Linked DNA regions of Sus scrofa. The protein of the gene in region 1 purifies or fractionates together with the protein of each later gene. This does not show direct contact. Links are inferred from orthologs where the notes say so. Each region holds a gene or a part of one and is shown on either strand. Other genes may lie near its edges.

Region 1 (10,594 bases):
AGTGGATTAAGAATCCAACTGGAATCCATGAGGATGTGAGTTCAACCCCTGGCCTCACTCCGTGAGTTAAAGGATCTGGCATTGCTGTGGCATAGGCTGGCAGCTACAGCTCCGATTTGACCCCTAGACTGGGAACTTCCATATGCTGTGAGTGTGGCACCAAACAGCAAATAAAACAAAACAAAAACAAAAACAAAAACCCTAGAGAAATGTTTTAGTATGCACACATGTGCATGCACACACACACACACACACACACACACGTTTATTTAACTTACATAAATTAAACACCCCCCCACCATTGGACTCCTTTGGAGGATATAAGGGAACCAACTCATTTCTTCTGAAAACGGTTCGCAATGTAAAAAGTCAAATATTCAACTTCTCGGAGTTCCCATCATGGTGCAGTGGAAATGAATCCGACTAGGAACCACAAGGTTGCGGGTTTGATTCCTGGCCTCGCTCAGTGGGTCAAGGATCTGGTGCTGCCATGAGCTGTAGTGTAGGTCACAAACGTGGCTCAGATCTGGCGTTGCTGTGGCTGTGGTTGTAGGCCGGTAACTGTAGCTCCTATTAGACCCCTAGCCTGGGAATCTCCATATGCTGTGGGTTAGGCTCTAAAAAGCAAAAAAAAAAAAAAAAAAAAAATTAACTCTCTTTCCTGTGTGAACTGTATTTCGGGGAAACTAAATTGTTGTTGAGGGAATGTTTTTCTCTAGAAAAATTCCAGCCAATAAACAAAAAAGAAATAATAGATTAGAATGTCACCATTTTTGCAAACCCCAAATCAAAGGATGAATCCAAGTAGTGATTATCAATGGTTGCTAACATCCCTAAAAAAGAGCCAACAAAATATTATGTTTCTCCTGATGGAAGTACACAATACTACTTAGGAAGTAGCTTTGCCAAAAAACTGAACCTGTATCAAACCAAGCCTCTAGAGCTAGCTACAAGTTTACAGGAAATACAAAGGCAAGAGAAACATGTTAGACGATACTAAGAGGAGGGAAGTGTAGAAAAGTCCAGATAACTGAAAATTTTATAGGCCTAAAGACATGGCTTTTTCAAAAGAAAAAAAAAAAGGCAAAGAACAAAAAAGAAACAGGGAATTTTATTAGATGTAAAATAATCTCAATATGTTGAACTCACTTGGATTTTGATTCACATAAGCTATGTTAAATGATGACATTTATGAAATAATTGTAAATATGAACACCAGTGCCTAAATATTTGGCATTGTTGAAGAATTATTGTTAAAATCTTCAGGTGTGATAGTGGTATTGTTAATAAATTTTTGTAAAGAGCTATTTTATTTTAGAAATACATACAGAAATATTTATGAAGTGATAGGCCACGTGAGACTTGTTTCAAAATAATAAGGGTACGAGGTAAGATTGTGGATGAAACAAAGTTATCCATGTTGAAGTTAGATGATGATATTGGCTATAAAAGGATTTCATTGCATTATTACTCCTACTTTGTAAAGTGCTTGTCTTTTAAATATACATCTAGAAAAATTGAGATGATGAAAAGATACCATAAATGACATCTGCTTCAAAATAATCCAGTTGTGGGGGGAGGGGTAGAGTAGGTGGATTTACGGATAAAATAAGATCTATGACCATGAGTTGATATTGAAGCTGAGAGTTCTATTGCACTATTCTACTTTCATATGTGATGGACATTTTCCATAATAAATAGCATTTAAAGTAAAAAAAAAATCACTATCACTCTGAGAAGTACTAGAAATTAAGCATGCATTTACAACACAATGTATTTACCTGGAAAGTCATAATTATAAGTATAGAGTAATTCACTTGTGAAGGAAAAATGCATTAGGAAACAATGTTGCCACAGAAGTCTTATTGAGGTACTGTCCCAGGGTATCATTTGGAATAGCCAGGCCCATAGCTCAGAGGTATAAAACAAAGCTTATCTGTCATAACAGGCAGATATGTTGTAACAAATCAGCCAAAAATCTCCCTGGCACAGATTTCTAGCTCGAGAAGTGCTCTGGAATTCCTCAAGAACCAGATTAATAGAGAAGCCACTGTATCAAGTCTTTATTGCTATGCCAGAGGGAAAGGAGGCTCTGAAGTGCCTCACATTGGTGAGTAAAAAATCCAGTCTAGAAAGTCGCTTCTCACAGTTCATTTGCATAAAACAGTCATCTGGCCCTATTCTGCCACAGGGGCCAGGAGGTACAGTGCCATCAAAACTCCAGAAGAGAGAAGAACTAGAAATATTTACCAAAAAATTCTGACCCCCTTGGAGTTCCCATCATAACTCAGCAGTAATGAACCCAACTAGCATCCATGGTCTCAATGAGTGGGTTAAGGATGTTATTGCCCTGAGCTGTGGTGTAGGTCGCAAACGTGACTTGGATCCCACGTTGCTGTGGCTGTGGTATAGACCAGAAGCTGTAGCTCTGATTTGACCCCTAGCCCAGGAACCTCCATGTGCTGTGAGTGCAGCCCCAAAAAGCAAAAAAAAAAAAAAAAAAAAAAAAAAAAAAAAAAGAATTCTGATCCGATTGACAAGAGAACGTGTGCATGATGCTGAAGCTGTACCAAACTTGAGCCCTGGGAATGACAGTACCTTGCCCCACCCCTAAGACAGTGTCCAGACAAAAGTCATCATCAATCTTTATGCATTACTTCTCTCTTATGACTCACAGTCATGCAATACATTGTATGCAGAGATTGCATAATGAGTGTAAAGTAATTAGTTGGCTGAATTACAAATTCAGCAATACTTTTCAAAAGGAGTTATTCCATTTCCCCTTTTGGATCATTAAAGTAATATGTTCTCATTATAAAAAAAAAAAAACTTGGAAACTATGGAGCATTAGAAAGAAGAGAGAGAAATCACCCATAATGTTACCTTCCAAAGAGAGTCACAGCTAATGTTTTACTGGATTTCCTTCCAAGCCGTTTCTATGCATTTAAAAAAAATTAGCTCTAGCATTTCCATTGTGGCTCAAAGGGTTAAGAACCCAACTAGTATCCATGAGGATACAGGTTCAATCCCTGGCCTTGCTCAGTGGGTTAAAGATCCAGTGTTGCCCTGAGCTGTGGTTTAGGTGGCTCAGATCCCAAGTTGCTGTGGCTGTGGCGTAGGCTTGCAGCTGCAGCTCAGATTCCTCAGCCTGGGAACTTCCATATGCCCTGCCTGAAACCCTAAAAAGCAAAAACAAACAAACTTGCTCTCATGGTCACCAAAACTATAACCATTTCTTCCTTAGAGACATTGTTCCAAATAGCTGATCTAACCAGCACTAGACTAGCAGAAAATTTCTTTAAAAAGGTGTTAGGGCTTTTCCTTGAAACACAGATATTTTAACATGGTGTTATAGCACTTTAAGTGCTAATGGTTAACTAAAAGATGCAGGTCACATTCTGTATTTTTGAGCAATGAATTCCTAGTTCTATCATTGCTTGTTAGTTTAAGACCAGCCATGAAACAAATGAATAATTGTAATAGCTTTATTTGCTACTGGTATTTTCTCCACCCAGTTTATTTATGAAAAGGGAACAGCTTTGGAAGTTATTACAATGGAATTTATGCATCTTAAAATCATAAAGACTCTGGAGTTCCCATCACGGCTCAGCAGTTAATGAACCCGACTAGTATCCATGAGGATGCGGGTTCGATCCCTGGCCTTGCTCACTGGGTTAAGGATCTGGCATTGCCATGAGCTGTGGTATAGGTTGCAGACTCCACTTGGATCCTGAGTTGCTATGGCTGTGGTGTAGGCCTAGCCTGGGAATCTCCATATGCCGTCAGTTCCTCCCTAAAAAGACAAACACCCCAAAAACAAAACAAACAAAGATCATAAAGATTCTAGTTACCTTTGAAAATAAAAACTGCTGATGATCCAAGTAATGACTAGGTGGCATAAAGAATACCTCAGCCAAATATTCTATAACTAGGATAATTTTCTCAAGTCTAGAAAACATTTAGTTATAAACTAGGATCTTTAGGTGAAAGATGATTTGTGGAATGTTTTAGTAATTATTACTCAAATTTTGCCAGAGACTCTTTTTCCTTAATATTTGATCTGATATTGCATTTTGTGTGTAGATTTCTTCTTCAGTTCAATAGACAAAGGAAATCTCAGAAAACTTAACTGACCAAGAATCTATACGAAGGTCTTGTAATTTTCTTATATCACAGCAATCTCTCAATTATTTATCTTAATAAGAGATAATGACATAGTCGATTGTGAACTTCTTATGGGCAAAAATAATAAATTATCTGTGTAGTCCTTACATCTCCCAGCACAAAGCAATGTATAGCGGAAACTCCCATAAACAAATAAATGTGATACAAAGTACAACTGCATTTACATGTGAAAGGTATTTGAGTTTTCCATAACTTGTTTATTTTCTTACTCATCTAAATCCTTGTTTTTTTATTTTTATTTTTATTTTTTTTGCCTTTTTGGCCATTTTTTTAGGGCCGCACCCGTGGCATATGGAGGTTCCCCCGCTAGGGGTCTAATCAGAGCTACAGCTGCTGGCCTACACCAGAGTCACGCCAGATCTGAGCCGCATCTACGACCTACACCACAGATGGCAATGCCAGATCCTTAACCTACTGAGGGAGGCCAAGGAAACCCACTGAGCGAGGCCAAGGATTGAACCTGCAACCTCATGGTTCCTAGTTGGATTCGTTTCCACTGTGCCACGATGGGAACTCCACTTGTTTACTGTTTTTGGCTGCACCTGTGGCATATGGAAGTTTCTGGGCCAGAGGTTGAACCTATGCCTCAGCAGCCACTGAACCACTGCAGAGACGATGCACGATCTTTACCCCTGCACCACAGCAGGAACTCCTAAATCTTTGTATTCTGAAATAGCTCCTTATAATTTCCAAAAGAGAAGTTACTGAATTAGGTCATGTGAACATTTCTTTATCCGATTTGACAAGTAACTTTCCAAATTTTGTTCTAAGTTACATCCCCAAGAAGATAGGAGTCCTCATTTCACTCTATCCCCACCAATGGAGTTTCTTCAGAATATAAACAACCTGGCCAATTAGATCCAAGGGAAATAATGTCTCTTTTGTCTTCTTTTCATTATTAATGAGTTTTAACATTAATAAAATATGCAGTAGGCATTTAAATTTCTTAATTTGTGAACTGACCATTCGTACATATACTTTTCCCACTTATCTGTTTAAGGCCTTATTACTTTCTATTTCTAGTCTTTGTCCTTACACTGTGCAACAGAATATTTTTACCTCAAATATGCACTTGTACACAGGCATCTCTGCTGTGTTTCTTCAAGGGTAGTGACCCCATTTCATTTATCTGGGAGCAACACTGGGCACAGTAGAGACAATGCATACTGGGCTTTGTGTAATTATTTTTAGGATTAAACAAGCTAAGCTAAACATAAACGAGATAACCTAAGCAAAGCATCTAACACACTGTCACATAGCAGATGCTCAATAAATTATTTTAATCAATCAAAAGAAGTTTCACCACTGAAGCAAAACCACACTATTTCAGCGCTGAGGAAAATCAAGATAAAATATCTTTGAAAGATCACAAATTATATTTGTCCAAGTTCAAGATTTGGGATTTGAACACTGATTCAAATTACATCTGACTGCGATACTCTTGAGATACTACAACTCTGACATTTTTAAAGACCAGTATGAATTCTGAGCTGGTTAAAATCTTTCGGTAAGTGGTGGATTCTTTTCCCCAGTCTGTAATGACACCCTGGCCCCAGACAGACGTCTCTTCTTCCATTTAAATTTATAGGAAACTTCTGGTGAAAATAGTAAAACACAAGCACAAATATGCATCACATGATTGACATTTGCTTCTCCAGATTAATTAGCTTTTGTTTTCAGACAGGAAGGCAGCTGTTCTCCGACCACTGCCAGAAAAGCAGAACTAAAACAACCAGAAGGAAAGACTGAGCCCTTGGGAATGGCCAATCAGCTGGAGGGCCTGAGGCACTGCAGTGGGTTAGGAGCATTTTTTTGCTGCCGGGGCGGAGGGGGAGCTGGTTGCAAAACCAGTATGAAGCAAAAAAAAAAAAAAAAAAAAAAAAGGTTTTCCGGGAGGACAGCAGCGCGGAGAACAGGCCGGGTGTGTCCGGTACAGGCCCGAGCTGCCCGAGCTCTGCGCCAGCCCTGTGAACGCGGAGGCTGGGGGCGGGGAAGCTGTGTCTAGGTCAGCGAAGGGCACAGGAAGCAGGCCACCGACACTGGTCGCTTCGGGATCCCTGCCCCGGGGCCTCTAGTGGGAAACCGAGTCGAGGACTACAGAAGATCCTCCGTCGTCCCCCTCACCCCAGAACCGCCTCAGGCATTTCCGGTAAGCAGCCCAGCGCCCAGGGATTTAGATCCCGCATCGCAGCGCGCAGGCGCCTCGCGAGTAGGGAGGCCGCGGACGCGGACCGAGGGGGCGTGTGAGTCAAAGGAAAGCTTCCTCTGCGCCTGCGCTATCTGTTCTCCCCAGTTGCGGGTGAGGGAAGGTGGTGGAAACAAACCTTGAGCCGACGTCCCGCGCTCCCTGCACTCCCGGCCGGCGTCGCTCTTCATTCCTCTGCGCGGTGTCGCGTCCAGGCGTCAAAGAGCTCCGCCGGGGTGTGGGGAGGTAAGTGCCCCCTGCAACAGGCGTCTTGGCCTCTCTTCGCCCCTGCTGCCCTCACAGAGAAAGCAGGGTGGCCGCTGGTCTCTCTGCCCTGGGCGCCGGGGCTGGCCCTCCTGTCCCTCTAGGGGCCAAGCCTGGGCCCCCGATTCATCCCTTTCCCAAGCCCCCTGGGCTGGCCGGGAAAAAAGACTCAAACCAGGTTGCCGCTCGTTAAAGCCGGGAGGTGCGGACCAGGCCAGGATGGCAATCACGGCGGTTCTTTGCCGGGTCCCGCCCACCTGGGCCTCCCAGAGTGCACGGCGCTGGGGAGAGGGCGACCCCCGCTCTCGGCTGGTGCTGGGTGAAGCGCCCCCAGGGCTGCCATCCCGGCTAGAGAAGGGGCTGCGTCTGCTGGAGGGGCTGGTAGCCCCTGCGCTGAAAGGTCTCGGCACCGGCAGACGAATCTGTCATCGGCGCCCGAGTTTCGCAAAGCCCATTCCCCGCACCATCGTATTGTCTTACCGTTTTTGACCAGAAGGACGCGGTAGTGTTCCTTTCCACTATCTTTTCTTTGATACGTTTGAAAAATTGTAAAAGATGACCTAACTTTTAACTGTTAACTTATTTGTACTACCGTGATTGCATATTCAGACTTGAGGGTGTTCTTGTTAATTTGATTGTATGGAAACCAGCTCATAAATTTGATAACAATATTTTTCACTTAACAAAATAGGTGGTTTGAGGATCTTTATTATTTTGAGCTTTTGAATTGGCAAAATTTGAGTGGTTTGATAATTTTCACCTCATTTCGTCCCCCTTTTCTCCCCTGGACACTATTGTCCAAAACTTAAATGGAATAAAGAATAAGGAAAAATAATCAACTGTAACTCCACTTTAAAGATATTCAGCACCAGTTAATTTTGACTTTTTACCTCTCAGTTTTCCCATGGCATTTTCTTAATTAAGATGAGATTATAATTTATAGACAGTTAGGTTGCCTGTTTTTCTTGCTTAAAATTATATTTTAAGGTGTTCCCCGTATGGCTCAGCGGAAACAAACCGGACTAGTATCCATGAAGTCAGGGGTTCAATCCCTAGCCCAGATCACTCGGTTAAAGGACTGGGCGTTGCTGTGCGCTCTGGTGTAAGTTGCAGAAGCAGCTCGGATCCCTTGCGGTGGCTTAGGCTTTAGCTGTAGCTCCTATTCAACCACTAGCCTGGGAACCTCCATATGCCTAGGGTGCTGCCCTAAAAAGCAAAGAAAAAATTTTATTTTTAAGCATTCCCCTGTTTTTTGAAAACTTCATAAACATAACTTTATGATTTTTGATTACACAAGTGATATATGAGCAAAATATCTTTCAAAACAGTTAACACTACAGAGGAGTTCCTCTGTGGTGTAGCGGAAAAGAATCCATATTCATAAGAATTCAGTTTCCATTCCTGGACTTGTTCAGTGGGTCTGGGATCCGGTGTTGCCATGAGCTGTGGTGTAGGTCACAGGCTCATCTCAGATCCTTTGTTGCTGTGGTGTAGGCCGGCAGCTGTAGCTCTGATTTGACCCCTAGCCTGGGGTCTTCCGTATGCCCCAGGTGTGTGGCCCTAAAAAGCAAAAACAAAAAAAACCTTACACTACAGATAAAACTAAATTCCTATTTAATTATCATCCCCAATTACAATGTTACATAATATGATGGTATCACAGTTTATTTAATCCAGTGAGTCTTAGGATCCCCTTTATACACTTAAAAGTTTTTGAGGACTGAAAGATTTTCTGTTTTCTAATGCAGTGTATATGCTATTTTAGAAATTAAAACTAAGATAATTAAAACTTTGTACTTATTTAAAAAATAATAAGTCCATTATATTATATATTGAATTAATAATATTGTTTAAAGTAACTATTTTCTTTTAAAAATTTAGTGAGAACAGTTTTTCATATTTTTGAGATGACTTTAATGCCTGGCTTTATAGGAAACAGATTCTCATATTTGCTTTTCCCTTCAGTCTCCTTTGCTTCTTTGTTTAGGCTGAAGTATTAAGAAAATCCAGGAGTTCCTGTTATGGCTCACTGAGTTAAGAAGTTGACATTGTGTCCTTGAGAGTAGGGGTTCTATCTCTGGCCTCCCTCAAGTAGGGTAAGGGTCTGGTGTTGCTGTACTCTGCAGTGTAGTTCGCAGATGTGGCTTGGATCTGGTATGGCTGTGGTGTAGGCCTGCAGCTGCACCTCTGATTCAGCCCCTAGCCTGGGAACTTCCATGTGCCAAAGGTGCAGCCCTAAGAAGAAGGGGGGGAAAAAAAAGAAAAGAAAATCCATTCTTGTACAGATAAATATTTCGTACAGGAAGGACCTCACTCTTCCAAAATCTCTTGGATTCTTTTAGGGGGTCCTCAGACCACAGTTTCAGAAAGCTGATTTAACCATTCTTTTTTTTTTTTTTTTTTTTGTCTTGTTGTTGTTGTTGCTATTTCTTGGGCCGCTCCCGCGGCATATGGAGGTTTCCAGGCTAGGGGTTGAATCGGAGCTGTAGCCACCGGCCTACACCAGAGCCACAGCAACGCGGGATCTGAGCCGAGTCTGCAACCTACACCACAGCTCACGACAACGCCGGATCGTTAACCCGCTGAGCGAGGGCAGGGACCGAACCCGCAACCTCATGGTTCCTAGTCGGATTCGTCAACCACTGCGCCACGACAGGAACTCCTGATTTAACCATTCTTGCTTGGATGAGCTGTTAGGTTCTTTGCAGTTTTCACTATTTGAAATGTTGTAACATTGAAAATTCTTTGTGATGTGTTGTTCTTGTGTGTAAGTGCTAGTGTTTCTCTACAAGTAGAATTGCTAGGTCATAGAGTTTGTTCTTTAAAAAAAAAGTTTTAATAGACATAAACATGGCTTATGATGCCTCCATGATTTTCTGTGTTGTAATGTTGGTATTTAGATTCTTTCAATTAATAATTTGGTGAAATACCTTTGTATATTTTCAGTTTTGAATTTTTAAATTGAATGTCTAAAGAGAGAACTGTTAGATCAAATGTTAGGAATCTTTTTGAATCCATTGATCCATATTGTTACATTGTTCCCCTGAGAGAGGATACCAGTTTACTTCTATCAGCAGTATCTGAGATGCTCTTTATATCAGATGCTTACAAACATTGAAGAATTTTATTATTTTTTTGAAGACTTTTCTTATTAAAAAGATTATATTCAGGGAGTTCCCGTCATGGCACAGTGGAAACGAATCCAACTGGGAACCACGAGGTGGAGGGTTCGATCCCTGGCCTCTCTCAGTGGGTTAAGGATCCAGTGTTGCCGTGAGCTATGGTGTAGGTTGCAGACGCGGCTCGGATCCTGTGTTGCTGTGGCTGTGGTGTAGGCCAGCAGCTACAGCTCTGATTAGACCCCTAGCCTGGGAACCTCCACATGCCACAGGTTTGGCCCTAAAAGGAGAAAAAGACAAAAAAAAAGTTATATTCAGATTTAGTAAGGTATGTGTTCTAATTTGCATTTCTTTGGGAGTTCCTGCTGTGGCACAGTGGGTTAAAAATCTGACTGCAGCAGTTTGGATTGCTGTGGAGGTGGGGGTTTGATCCCTGGGGGCCTGGCCCAGCACAGGGGTTAAAGGATCTGACGCAGGTCAGGTCATAGCTGTGGCTCAGATTCAGTCCCTGGCCCCGGAACGTCCATAAGCTATAGATGTGGCCTTAAATTAAAGAAATAAATAATTTGTGTTACTTTGATAGTGCAGATTGTACATTGAATGTTTTTTCATAATCTTACTAGCTGCCTGTTCATATTATGTGCCCAATTATCATTTTTAGGAGGAAAAGAAAGAAATTATCTTTTTTTCTGATTATAAAAGTAGTATTTTTTTGTTTAAAAAATACTATAAAGGAGTTTCCATCATGGCTCAGTGGTTAACGAGTCCGACTAGGAACCATGAGGTTGGGGGTTTGATCCCTGGCCTTGCTCGGTGGGTTAAGGATCCCACATTGCCGTGA
Region 2 (10,353 bases), on another chromosome or scaffold:
TGCTTGGTGTTGTGGAAGGTGAACTTTGCCCAGCCTGATTCTTGGGTTCATCTCATTGGCTTCCCTGCTGGGCAGATACACAGCGTTCTGCATTCCACACGTGAGCAAATTGCAAAAAACGAAAAAAAAAGTACTCTATTCTCATGTAGGTTTATTTATGTGCGCGTGTGAATGTGTGTTTTAATTATGTGTATTTAACTCTTAAACTCTTAGATTTTAATTTATCCTGTAAATTTCTGTATATATAATTTAAAAACAAGAGCCTCCACCAGCAACAGCATGTGGAAGATACAGATTTGTCTTTTCTTCCTTCCTTCCTTCCTTCCTTCCTCTGGTCTCCTCTGGAAACTCCAAATCATCTATACTTTAAGGTATCATGCCTCAAAAAGGAATCATTATGTTGGGATTCAAATTCTTTATAATTCAATAATGTCAAGAAAGTAAAATAAAAAGGAACGTAACCATTCCCAGATGCCCTTATTTCCAAAGAACCAGACTCTTGCTTCCTAGATGCAAAGAAGACAGTTGAGCGCTTAAGGGTTGTTTATACATTGAGTGTGAGGTTCCACGTCACAACTCAGCTCTGAGGTAACTGCTTTCTTCCCGTGGCCTGGTCAGAGCACTGCAGCATCACGATACATCAGCCAGCCTGCATCCGATTTCATTGCTTCCTTCCCACCGGTGTGGTCACAGGGCTGTGTTTCTTAAAGGGATTCTGGTTACTGAATGCCTTTCTCACCTCAGAGCAGTTTTGAGATTTAATTGGGGGAAACAGGAATGTTTGGGAACCAAAATCAAGAAGAGCAGAAATCTCGGTTTGGTCTTGTGCATTAGAACCTGTGCCACACCGCCTCCTCTGATCCCATGTCAGGTTCCTGTCTGACACAGGGTATCCAGGAAGAGCCTTGAGGACATGGACTAGTACAAAAAAAGAAGTCAGTCCTACCATTGTCATTTGTGCACATCAGTGAAATCCTGATGAGGACCTGCTTTTTCGTTTGTTTTCCTTTACAATCCAACCCTATTGTATTTGTATTTAAAATTTGTACACATTTGTATAATAATCTGTTCCTTGTGGTATTTGGTACTATTAGAGGAAAAACTTTGGATTCAGACCTTCTTGCAGTTTTTATATCATTGTTTTATTTTGTTTTTTAAATAAATTCTAGCGGTTTGATCCAAATCCCATTACAGTTGTATAAAGAAACAAAATTTTGTACTTATATTATTAAAAATCACATTTTTAATATTTGTAGTCCAGTGTCAGCTATCTTTTCCCTGTTGCTAACCAGAGTTGCTATGAAATTTTAAAACTGGTTTTCACACTCCAGCCTACCATCATTTTCTTAAAAAGGAAACCTGTCAGGAGTAGAGGTCAAGTTTCTGATCATAGCCATCTTCCCACATCTTCTCTGTGTCTCTCTCTCTTTGTGTTATGGAGTCTCATTGTCTCGCTTTTGCAAATTACAAACCCAGTGGCTCTGGCAGTAGCTCTATTCATTGGCAAATGAAATTGTATGTACATTACAGTATTGCCCCAACTCAAGAAATATTTATCAGTCTTGTATAAAAGTCACATCCGGATCCTGCGCTTCGGTACTGTCCTGACTTGGTGGTTGATTCTGCGCTGGATAAATCACTTAATCCTCATAAGCATCTGAAGTCCCATCTGTAAAGTAGTGGTAATGTCACTTCCCTGTCTCGAACCTTGCAGCCAGCCAGCCTAACATGAATGTTTAGTGATACTGTGAACATTCAATATATGAGACGTGACCTTTCAAGGTAAAAACCTCAGCGCAAACACGAAGTGTTAATAGTCACAGTGCAGTATTATGATTGATTGAAGGACTCGCTTCCTAGGGAGAAGCCGCCAGAAAGAGACCGCCATAGTGCCGAATGAATGACTAGAATGATTTGCATGTTTTATCTCACTTAATCCTCCCCAAAGCCTCATGAGTATTATCGCTCTTTACAAATGAGGAGACAGAGGCAGAAACATAAAGTTTTCCTAAGTTTATACAGCTAGTAAATGGCAAAGCCAGAATAAGCACAATGGTACAGCTGACCCAAAAGCCACTTTCCAAGTTAAATTGTATATGTAATTCATCAGAATCCTCCATTCTCTGCAGTCCTGAGCAAATGTGGTTGTAGGAAATCTATGAGACCTTTCTGTTGTTCAAATGTCCTTTTGCCCTAGTTGGATTTTACTACACAGACCTCATTTTTCTGGTCATACTATTGTCTTTGAATTTTGGAGGCAAAGTATCTTGATTTTTTTGTTGTTGTTGTCTAAAAATATTTAAAGGATATAATCGATTAATTACATTTATGCAATATGTCGTTCTTAAGGGACTTAAATATTTTTATCCTCAGGAAGGCATTTGATATTATATTGCTAAAACATTTAAAAGGAGAAAAATTAAAACAGATTTTTTTACTAAATGAGGTTGTTCCCTGTTAGCAAACATTTTTAAAACAGTTTTAATTGGTTTTGTACTGCACTTAATGTTTGCCATTTACATTCCTATCCATTTTATTGTGAAGTCCACACACTTCCACTTCTAATTTAATAGCCATCCAGCATTCTGTTTGCATGGAGTTAATATGATTTCACTCCCTGTTAGAGGGCACGTGGGTTGTTTCTGTTTTGTTTTGTTTTTTACCATGAAGGATGTATGGCTGTTTCATTCTCGGCAGTAAAGCCAATATCTGCCCATAATCATTTTAAACCAGAGTGATTCAAGAAGGCAAGTACTTCTGGTAAATCACCACCCAACAGGGGGATGTTAAAACTTGTTAATGGAAGGATCCAAAGGAAATTCATGCTAAATATTCTATACACCCAAGCAGTACACCTAAATGAAACAAAAACATGAAAGCTACCTGACATGAAGTTCATCGTAAATGTACATTCCCCCTTATAGTCCAAATACCATTACTGAGAGACTGATTGAAATTTTCACGTGTTAGTCATTGCGCTAGATGCCAGTGGCTGGGATAGACACAGCCTCCGTGCCCTCATGGAGCATCAGAGCACAGGAGTATCTCTGTAAAGGTTTTGTATTGTACAGTAATGATGTCTGCTCAAACAGATTAACCTCTATAGGTTCTCTATCATCAGAAATGTGTGCAGCTTACTAGCCTTTCAAACTTAGAATTCACAAATATCATGCTCAATAAATACTAAAGCACCCTGCCGTAGCCCGGACTACCAAAGCAGTAGTTATTGTATCTTTTGGAGTGCCTATCATTAGAAGGGGAAAAACAAACAAACATAACCTGTAGTTCAGATATCTAATGAGTAGGCAATATAGCTGAAACATGGCACACAAGAAGGCTGAAGAAGATATTAGAATTACAAAGCTGGGAAAAGCCTTTGAGATTTTTGGTTTGGGGTACACTGCTGTACCTCAGGGACCTTGGAAACCCAGAGATCAAATCGTATCTCTCTGCCTTTTTTTCTTCTGAAAGGCTCCACTGCTTTCCACATTTCTCAAAGGAGCCTGTGACCTAAAAAAAAGAGTTGAGTCCTTGATCTAATTGCAGAATCCAGAGAAAATGGAAGCTTGCTGTTTGAATCACACAGTAAATGAATGACAGAGATGGGTTCCAGGACCCACTCCTGACATCTGTGTGCTTTCTGCCACCCTGAGCTCTAGCCCATCCCCAGCTGCAATTCTTTGAGTTGGCTCTCGGTGTCAAGGCGTCACAAACCCCTGGCCCTTGCCTCCCATTTGAGAAGTAAGGGAATCTGGGCTGCAAGCAAGATACGTCTTGCAGCCAGGAGACCTCGAAGAGAAGAGTCTTCTCAGGGCAGGGAGACCACAGGCCAGAGAGGCTGTCAACCCCAGCGGTGGTTGTGTAGTCATAATGAGGTCCTAAGGGGCTGAGACTAAAAGCAAAGGCTATGGGCTCAGCTTGCTGGGTAACCTCACACAAGCCATTTCCCGGGTCTGAGGCTGGGTTTTCCGGGTCTGTTGAGATCAAAGGACCACGCCCCTAAACTCAGAAAAAAAATGGAGGGCGTGGCTTAGGGGGACACACGTCTCAAGACCCGCAGCCGCCCTACGTGGTGCGTGACGTCCGCCGACGCCGAGGAAGCCGCAGTGAGGTCATCGCCCTCCGCCTTCGGGAGCCGACCGACCCTCCTCGTCAGGGGCGGGGCCTGCGGCAGCGCTCCTGGCTCCTTCTGCCCCGCCCCACCCGCGCCTCCCCGAGGACCGTCCAGCGCGTCACGTGACGGGTCGGCGGCGCTGGCGGTTGCTGTCAGCTGATTCCCCGGCTTGGTGGCAGCGGCAGCCGCGGCAATGGACTTTCTCCTGGGGAACCCGTTCAGCTCTCCGGTGGGACAGCGCATCGGTGAGTCCCAGGGCTCCGCCCAGCCTCAAAGCAGGGCTCCGCGCCCGTCCCTTGCCCCCCGGGGTGCCTCCAGGTCCCCAGTCACACCCCAGAAGGAGGCTGGGTGGGGAAGGAGGAGAACGAGGCTGGCGAGGCTAGCGAGGCTGGCCTGTCTGTCCCGAACCTGGCCCCGCCCCTTCTCCCGCCTACTTTGATTGACAAAAGCTGCGGTCCATTAGGGAGCCTTGGCTTGTGATGAATGCCCACGGCAGCCAATAGGTAAAGAGAGAAGGCGGGTCAGGGCCTCCGTGTCTTGGCCAATGTGAGGTTGTTGGGGTCGCGAATCCAGGGAGAAAGTTTAGGGGGTTAAAGGGACTGCGTGGTTTTACAGCCTTTGGGTCCCTCCACTGTTCCCCTGTTGCTTCCCCTACTCGCGTCAGCCGGGTGGGCTCTCGCCGTCTCCTTCCTGGCGCTCCAGGCGCTGCGAACACGGATTCCTGAGAAGAGCTGGAAGTCCCTTTTCCCAGGACCAGGGCGCGGGGGCGGGGGTGGGGGGGCGTTTAGGCGGGCAACTTGAGCAGGGGGGGCGGCGGAGAGCCCTGCTTCCTTTGGGCCCAGGGTAGACGCTGGGGAACCCGCTCCGCCAAGAGGCCAGGCCTTTGAAAGCAAAGCCTCGGAACGTGCCTGCCTTGGCCTCGCTCGCCGGCCGGCGTCAGATGGTCCGCATAGACCCGCAGACTCTGAGCTTAGAGTGATTTTAGGAACCACCTGATTCGGCCTCCTTCATTTCTCAGTAGAGGGGAAGGCCAAGCTCTCTGGCTGAGACACAGGCACACTCAGATCTCCTGATTCTCTGGCCTCCTGTTGACGGGAGACTTACTAGTTTGTGACGTTGCATCTGTGTACGGAGGTTTCCTCACCTGTGATGAGGGGATAATAATGGTCCCCACGGATTGCTATGTAAATTAAACTCGTTAATACATGTAAAGTACTTAGAACACTGCCTGGCACGTGACCGATGCTATTTTAAAAAAAAGTAATATTTATTATCATTGTAACTGAGAAACCACCAAATGAGGGGCAGGAATTCCTGGAAATGGCTGGCCACTCGGTCTTGGCTATTCATTCCTGCGCACCAATGCAGGGAGGGCCTACAGGCCATCACCCGAACAGCTGACACTTCTCCAGGATAGTCTGGGCGTGCCTCGTTGCATGAAGAAACCGCGGCAGTACTGTGAAACTCTCCATCTTCTTGATGGTCTTTAGCCTTGAGTCCAGACCGGGAAGATTGGATCTTTGAGGCAAGACTTTCTTTTACATGGAAACCAAACCTCACTTCATTCTGTTAACCCAGCTATGTTGAAATTGCCCCCGTGGCCGTTTGTGGCTCTTCTGAGGTTTTGTAATCAAATGTCTTCAAGAGGAGCCTGAAGGTCAAGAATTTACACACCAGGAAGCTCCTGGACCAGAGAGGGGAAGCTGCCACCTCAGGACCACTTGCCCGCCGCACCTACTACTCACCCCAGTGAGTCATTGTTTTGAAACAGAAAAGAGAAGGCAGCTCTTCCCTCATTGTTATTTTTGCAACTGCAGATACTCCTGCTTTCATCATGTGCCAAGTTCCAGGGTTCTTATCCCCCTACCCTCCCTCCCCAAAATCGAGACTTCATGATAGTCAGCCACATATTCCTGAGGCTTTTTATAGCAAAGCTCACTTGTACTCCCTGCTTTAGGTTGTCAAAAGAAAGCAGCTCCTCTTTTTACCCTGAAAGGTTACCTGTCTTGGGCAAGAAATACTCAGTCCAAAGAGCATGGTACTAATTCGTCATACCTTAAAGCACAGAACAAGTCTTACTGCAGGAACAGTCCTTACCCTGGGGCTCTTCTGACCCCAGGCTTTCCTCAGAATCCACTGGGAAGTCTAGTTAAAGCAGTGAAGGCTGAGCCCCACCTCCAGAGTATGTGACTCTGTAGGTCTGAGGCAGCCACTGGATTGAAAAACCACACGTTGAAAACCTTGGTTCTAGCCCGTCCCCTTCATTTCACTCAGGAGCCTGAGGTCCCGAGAGGGAAGGTGGAGGCCAGGACTCACCCAAGACCCCAATGAAATGATGGAAACGCTGATCTGAATGCCCCAAAGCCACTGAAATATGAACCAAAGCTGAAGAGGCTCTAAAAGTAGAAATGAAAAATGTCTACCATTTGAGTTATGCCCTCAGTACTCCTTTGCATGCTTTTGCTCTTTTTTCTTTCTTTTTTTTTTGGATAAAGACGCAACGCCAGCCTTGATTGCTTGTGATTACTATTGACCTAGTATCAGCTGCCTGGACTTCCGTAAACTGCAGGGACGAAATAATCTCTTCTCAACCCTGCCGGCACCCCCTGTTGAGAGTAGAACCCTGAGCACTGTGGATCCTCATGGTGCTAAGCAGGGGTGAGTGTCACTTGACTCGAAGTCTCCAGCCACCCCCACACACCCTCTTTGTGCTTGCTGCTCTCTCTGCCTGCAATGCCTGCTCCGGTGTGCATCCTTCAAAGCCCAGGCGTCATCACCTCCTCGCTGAGGGCTCCTCTGTCCTCTTCAGACCCAGCCATTGCTTTCATGCCCTCCCATCAGCCTCGCTCCATAGGATTCTTGGCTCTCTGCCTTTGGGCTTCGAGCCTCTGCTTCTTCCTGGGTGGAAGGGTGGTTGTAACCATATCCACGTCTCAGGATGGCTGAGAGAGCGAAGTAAGAGCTCCCTGGAGAGGGCCCGGCCTGCTGTGAGTGGGCAGCAAACACCATTATCACTTTTGTTATTTCCACCGTCATCACACTAATAAAGTGCCGTCTCACTGTTAGTGGTTGGGCGTGTCTCCCCTGCTGGACCAGACTTCCTGAGAACAGGTGCCGGACCTTAGATCCAGCCCCTTGGCACTTCGCATGGCACCTGGCACATAGTAGGAGGGAAGGAAGGAGAAAGAAAGGAACCGTGTGTGAGCAAAGCCAGGTGCCATGCTGGTATCCCAGCCCTGTTGTCCAACTCAAGTTCATGTGCCTGACGCACGGTAAGGCTAAACACAGCAAAACGTAGAGGAGCTTGGAGCAGAGAAGGGCTTGTTGCAAGGGCCAAGCCAGGAGAGCGGGCTGCTCATGCTCAAAAGCTCTGAAACTCCCCACTGGTTTTCCGGGAAGAGTTTTTAAAGGCAAAATTGCGGGGAGGGGAGGGCTGCAGGGTGTGTGACCTTCCTCGGACTGGTTGGTGGGGAGGGTACAGGGCGGTGCTCCAGGAATCTCAGTCCTCAGCCTTCTGGTTCCGTCCCGGCTGGGGTCTGCGGGCTTGTGCTCCTCCACCTGGCCGGGGCCCCAGCTCCTGTGAGAACCCAGAGATGTGGATCTGAGGGTTCAGGCTCCTGAAGAGGAACTAGGAGTCTGCCTTCTTGCTGCACTATTATTTCTTGACTGCTTTTCCTTTGTTCTGTGTCCCCTCCCTTCCCTAATTAGTAGCTGTTTGACTCTGCCCTTTGGAACTCAGGGAGGGTCTAGGCGGCTGAAACCTTTTTTCCTACAAACGAGAAACAGGGAACACAGAGAAGCTTTTGTACCCGGAAGGGCCTTGGAAGACCCTGCTCCGTTTCAGTCCCCGCCTTTCTTTGATGCTCTCCAGTCTGGAGGGGGAACAGGTGTGGGAATGGAAGCTTTAGGCAGAGGCTAAGCATAAACTCGGCAAAAGAGCTCAGGTTTAGTGGGATTCGGTTTCAACCCTACAAAATTTTGCTATTTTTCTCCCATGTCACTAAAAGTAAGTGAGGAGGAAACTATTCCTTCCCAAAGTTGCCCAGCCCATTAGGGTCGGGCCCCAGACCCAAGTGTCTCTGGCTGCAGACCCCAGGTCCTCTCTGGCACTCTCACCACCCTGCCTCTGGCTGATCATCGCTTAGCTGGAATTTGCAGCCACCCAACCCTCCAACTAATACAGTTCTGTTGGATCCACACACTAGCTTTTCTGATTATGACACACATCTAGGTCTGTGCACATTCCCAGGTCACTCACCTGTCGACTGAAAAGAAAAAAATACACAACCTAAACGTTGACAATTATGTTTTATCCGAGGAGCTTACCAAGGACCATAGCCTGACTAGCAGGTGGCTCGAGGGTCTGTTCTAAAGAGGTAAGGGAGGAGTTCCCGTCGTGGCGCAGCAGAAACAAATCCCACTAGGAACCATGAGGTTGCAGGTTCAATCCCTGGCCTCACTCAGTGGGTTAAGGATCCAGCATTGCCATGAGCTGTGGTGTAGGCCGGCAGCTGTGGCTCAGATTAGACCCTTAGCCTGGGAACCTCCGTGTGCCATGGGTGCGGCCCTAAAAAGCAAAAAAATAAAAAATGAAAAAAACATAAAGAGGTAAGGAAGGAGCCAGGATACAGAGGTGTTTTGCCCCATGTAGCTGAACATCAAAAGATTAATGCTAATCACAAGAAAACAGGCGTCTCAAGTTAATGATTTCAGTGCTTTTCCCTGTATGGGAAGATTCAAGAGCCTGTGCCTTTTGAAATCATTCCTTTGATAGCCATCTTAACTATCTAGGGCCCGTATCCTGTTTTTCTCTTTTCTGATTTCCCCTCAGGGGCTGCAGTGGCTGAGCTTGATGGCCACAGTTGCCTTTGTGCCTGACATGGCAAATGACATTTTTGTCCACTTACCCTTATCTATTAGGAGAGCTTCCCGCTGGCACAGCCTGTGGCTGAAAGGATCCCAGAGAGCGAGTGGTAGCTGGTATTGACGTAGCCCTCTTCTTCCAAGGATTTTCAAACCCTTTCCAAGTATTCTCTGAGGACAGATTGAACTGCCTGGGTTTTATAGAGAGAGGTCAGAGGGCGAGCCAAGAATCTCATTTTCCGCTTCTGGTGTCAGCTCACCCCTAGCACTTTGAGCTGAGACATACCTGACCCCCTGAGAGCGAGCTGCAAAAGACAGAGAGTAAATGCAGGCAGCGCCTGGGGAACAGCCCCCCATGCACGCCCCCCCCCAGGAGTTGGGGGAGGCGGGGCGGGCCAGATGTGATGGGAGAAGAGCCCAGAGCCTAAGACTGAGGGGTGGACAGGAGAGGTGAAAGGTCAGGGAGAGCCACCCTTAGATCCACGAAGGCCAAGCCAGGAGGCCGCCAGAAGGCATCGTCGATAAGAGGCCACAGGCACGAGCAGGGAGAGAACACCTCGGGACCTCTGGGGGCACCACGTGGGGACCGATGAGTGAAAACCAGACTGGATACTCAGGCAGTGTTGTCAGGGGACACCAGGCTGGGCGGCTGGAGCTCCGAGTCCTGCTCCAGTTCCACTACTAACTATGTCACGTTCCTTCGCCGCCGCCCTCCCCTAACCTGTAACCCAGAGGTGCCACTTGCTCCCTCTGTTTCCCAGAGGATCAAACCTTGAGAGGATGAGTGAGGACAGAGACGGACTGACACCGGAGGGAAGAATGGGATGGCCCTTTCGGAGGAGCGCTCAAAGCGGGGAGCGGGCTGCCGCGGGAGGGGTCGGGCCAGTGCCAGCAGCCGGTCCCGGCGCCCTTCTCCCCTCGTGAGCTTCCCGTCACTGGAGGTGTGAAACAGAGGTCGCGGGGGAGGGAGGATTCCTGCGTGGCTGGGCAGGGTAGACCAGGATCTGTAAACTTCTTCCTTAAAGGGCAAGATAGTAGGTATTTTCAGTGTTGTGGGCAGCTACTCTGCCATCAGAGCACAAAAGCAGCCAGACAGGAAGTCAGTGAAGGGGCCTGACTGGTCCAGTCAAACTCTATTTACAGACCCTGAAATCTGAGTTATGCGTAATTTTTGCATGTCATGAAATGTTCTTCTTTGGATTCTTTTTTTCAACCATTTAAAAATGTAAAGAGCAGGGGTAAGTAGATGCGAACTATAGCATTTGGAGAGGAGAAGCAATGAGCTCCTGCTGGGAACTGTATCTAGTCACTTGTGATGGAACATGATGGAGATAATGTGAGAAAAAGAATGTGTGCGTGTGCCTGTGTGTGCGTGT

The links.
Region 2: the proteins of ZFYVE16 (region 1) and TOM1 purify together in Homo sapiens (affinity purification with western blotting; 3 studies listed by BioGRID and IntAct, with this or other methods). This does not show direct contact. The link is inferred for Sus scrofa from reciprocal best matches to the Homo sapiens genes ZFYVE16 and TOM1.

The regions. Positions count from the first base shown.
Region 1 is NC_010444.4:89,039,145-89,049,738, forward strand, and holds the start of ZFYVE16 (zinc finger FYVE domain-containing protein 16), read left to right. Parts: upstream 1-5,715; 5' UTR 5,716-6,616; intron 6,617-10,594.
Region 2 is NW_018084968.1:1,845,987-1,856,339, forward strand, and holds the start of TOM1 (target of Myb protein 1), read left to right. Parts: upstream 1-4,122; 5' UTR 4,123-4,307; coding exon 4,308-4,359; intron 4,360-6,609; exon of another isoform or gene 6,610-6,756; coding exon of another isoform or gene 6,757-6,772; intron 6,773-10,353.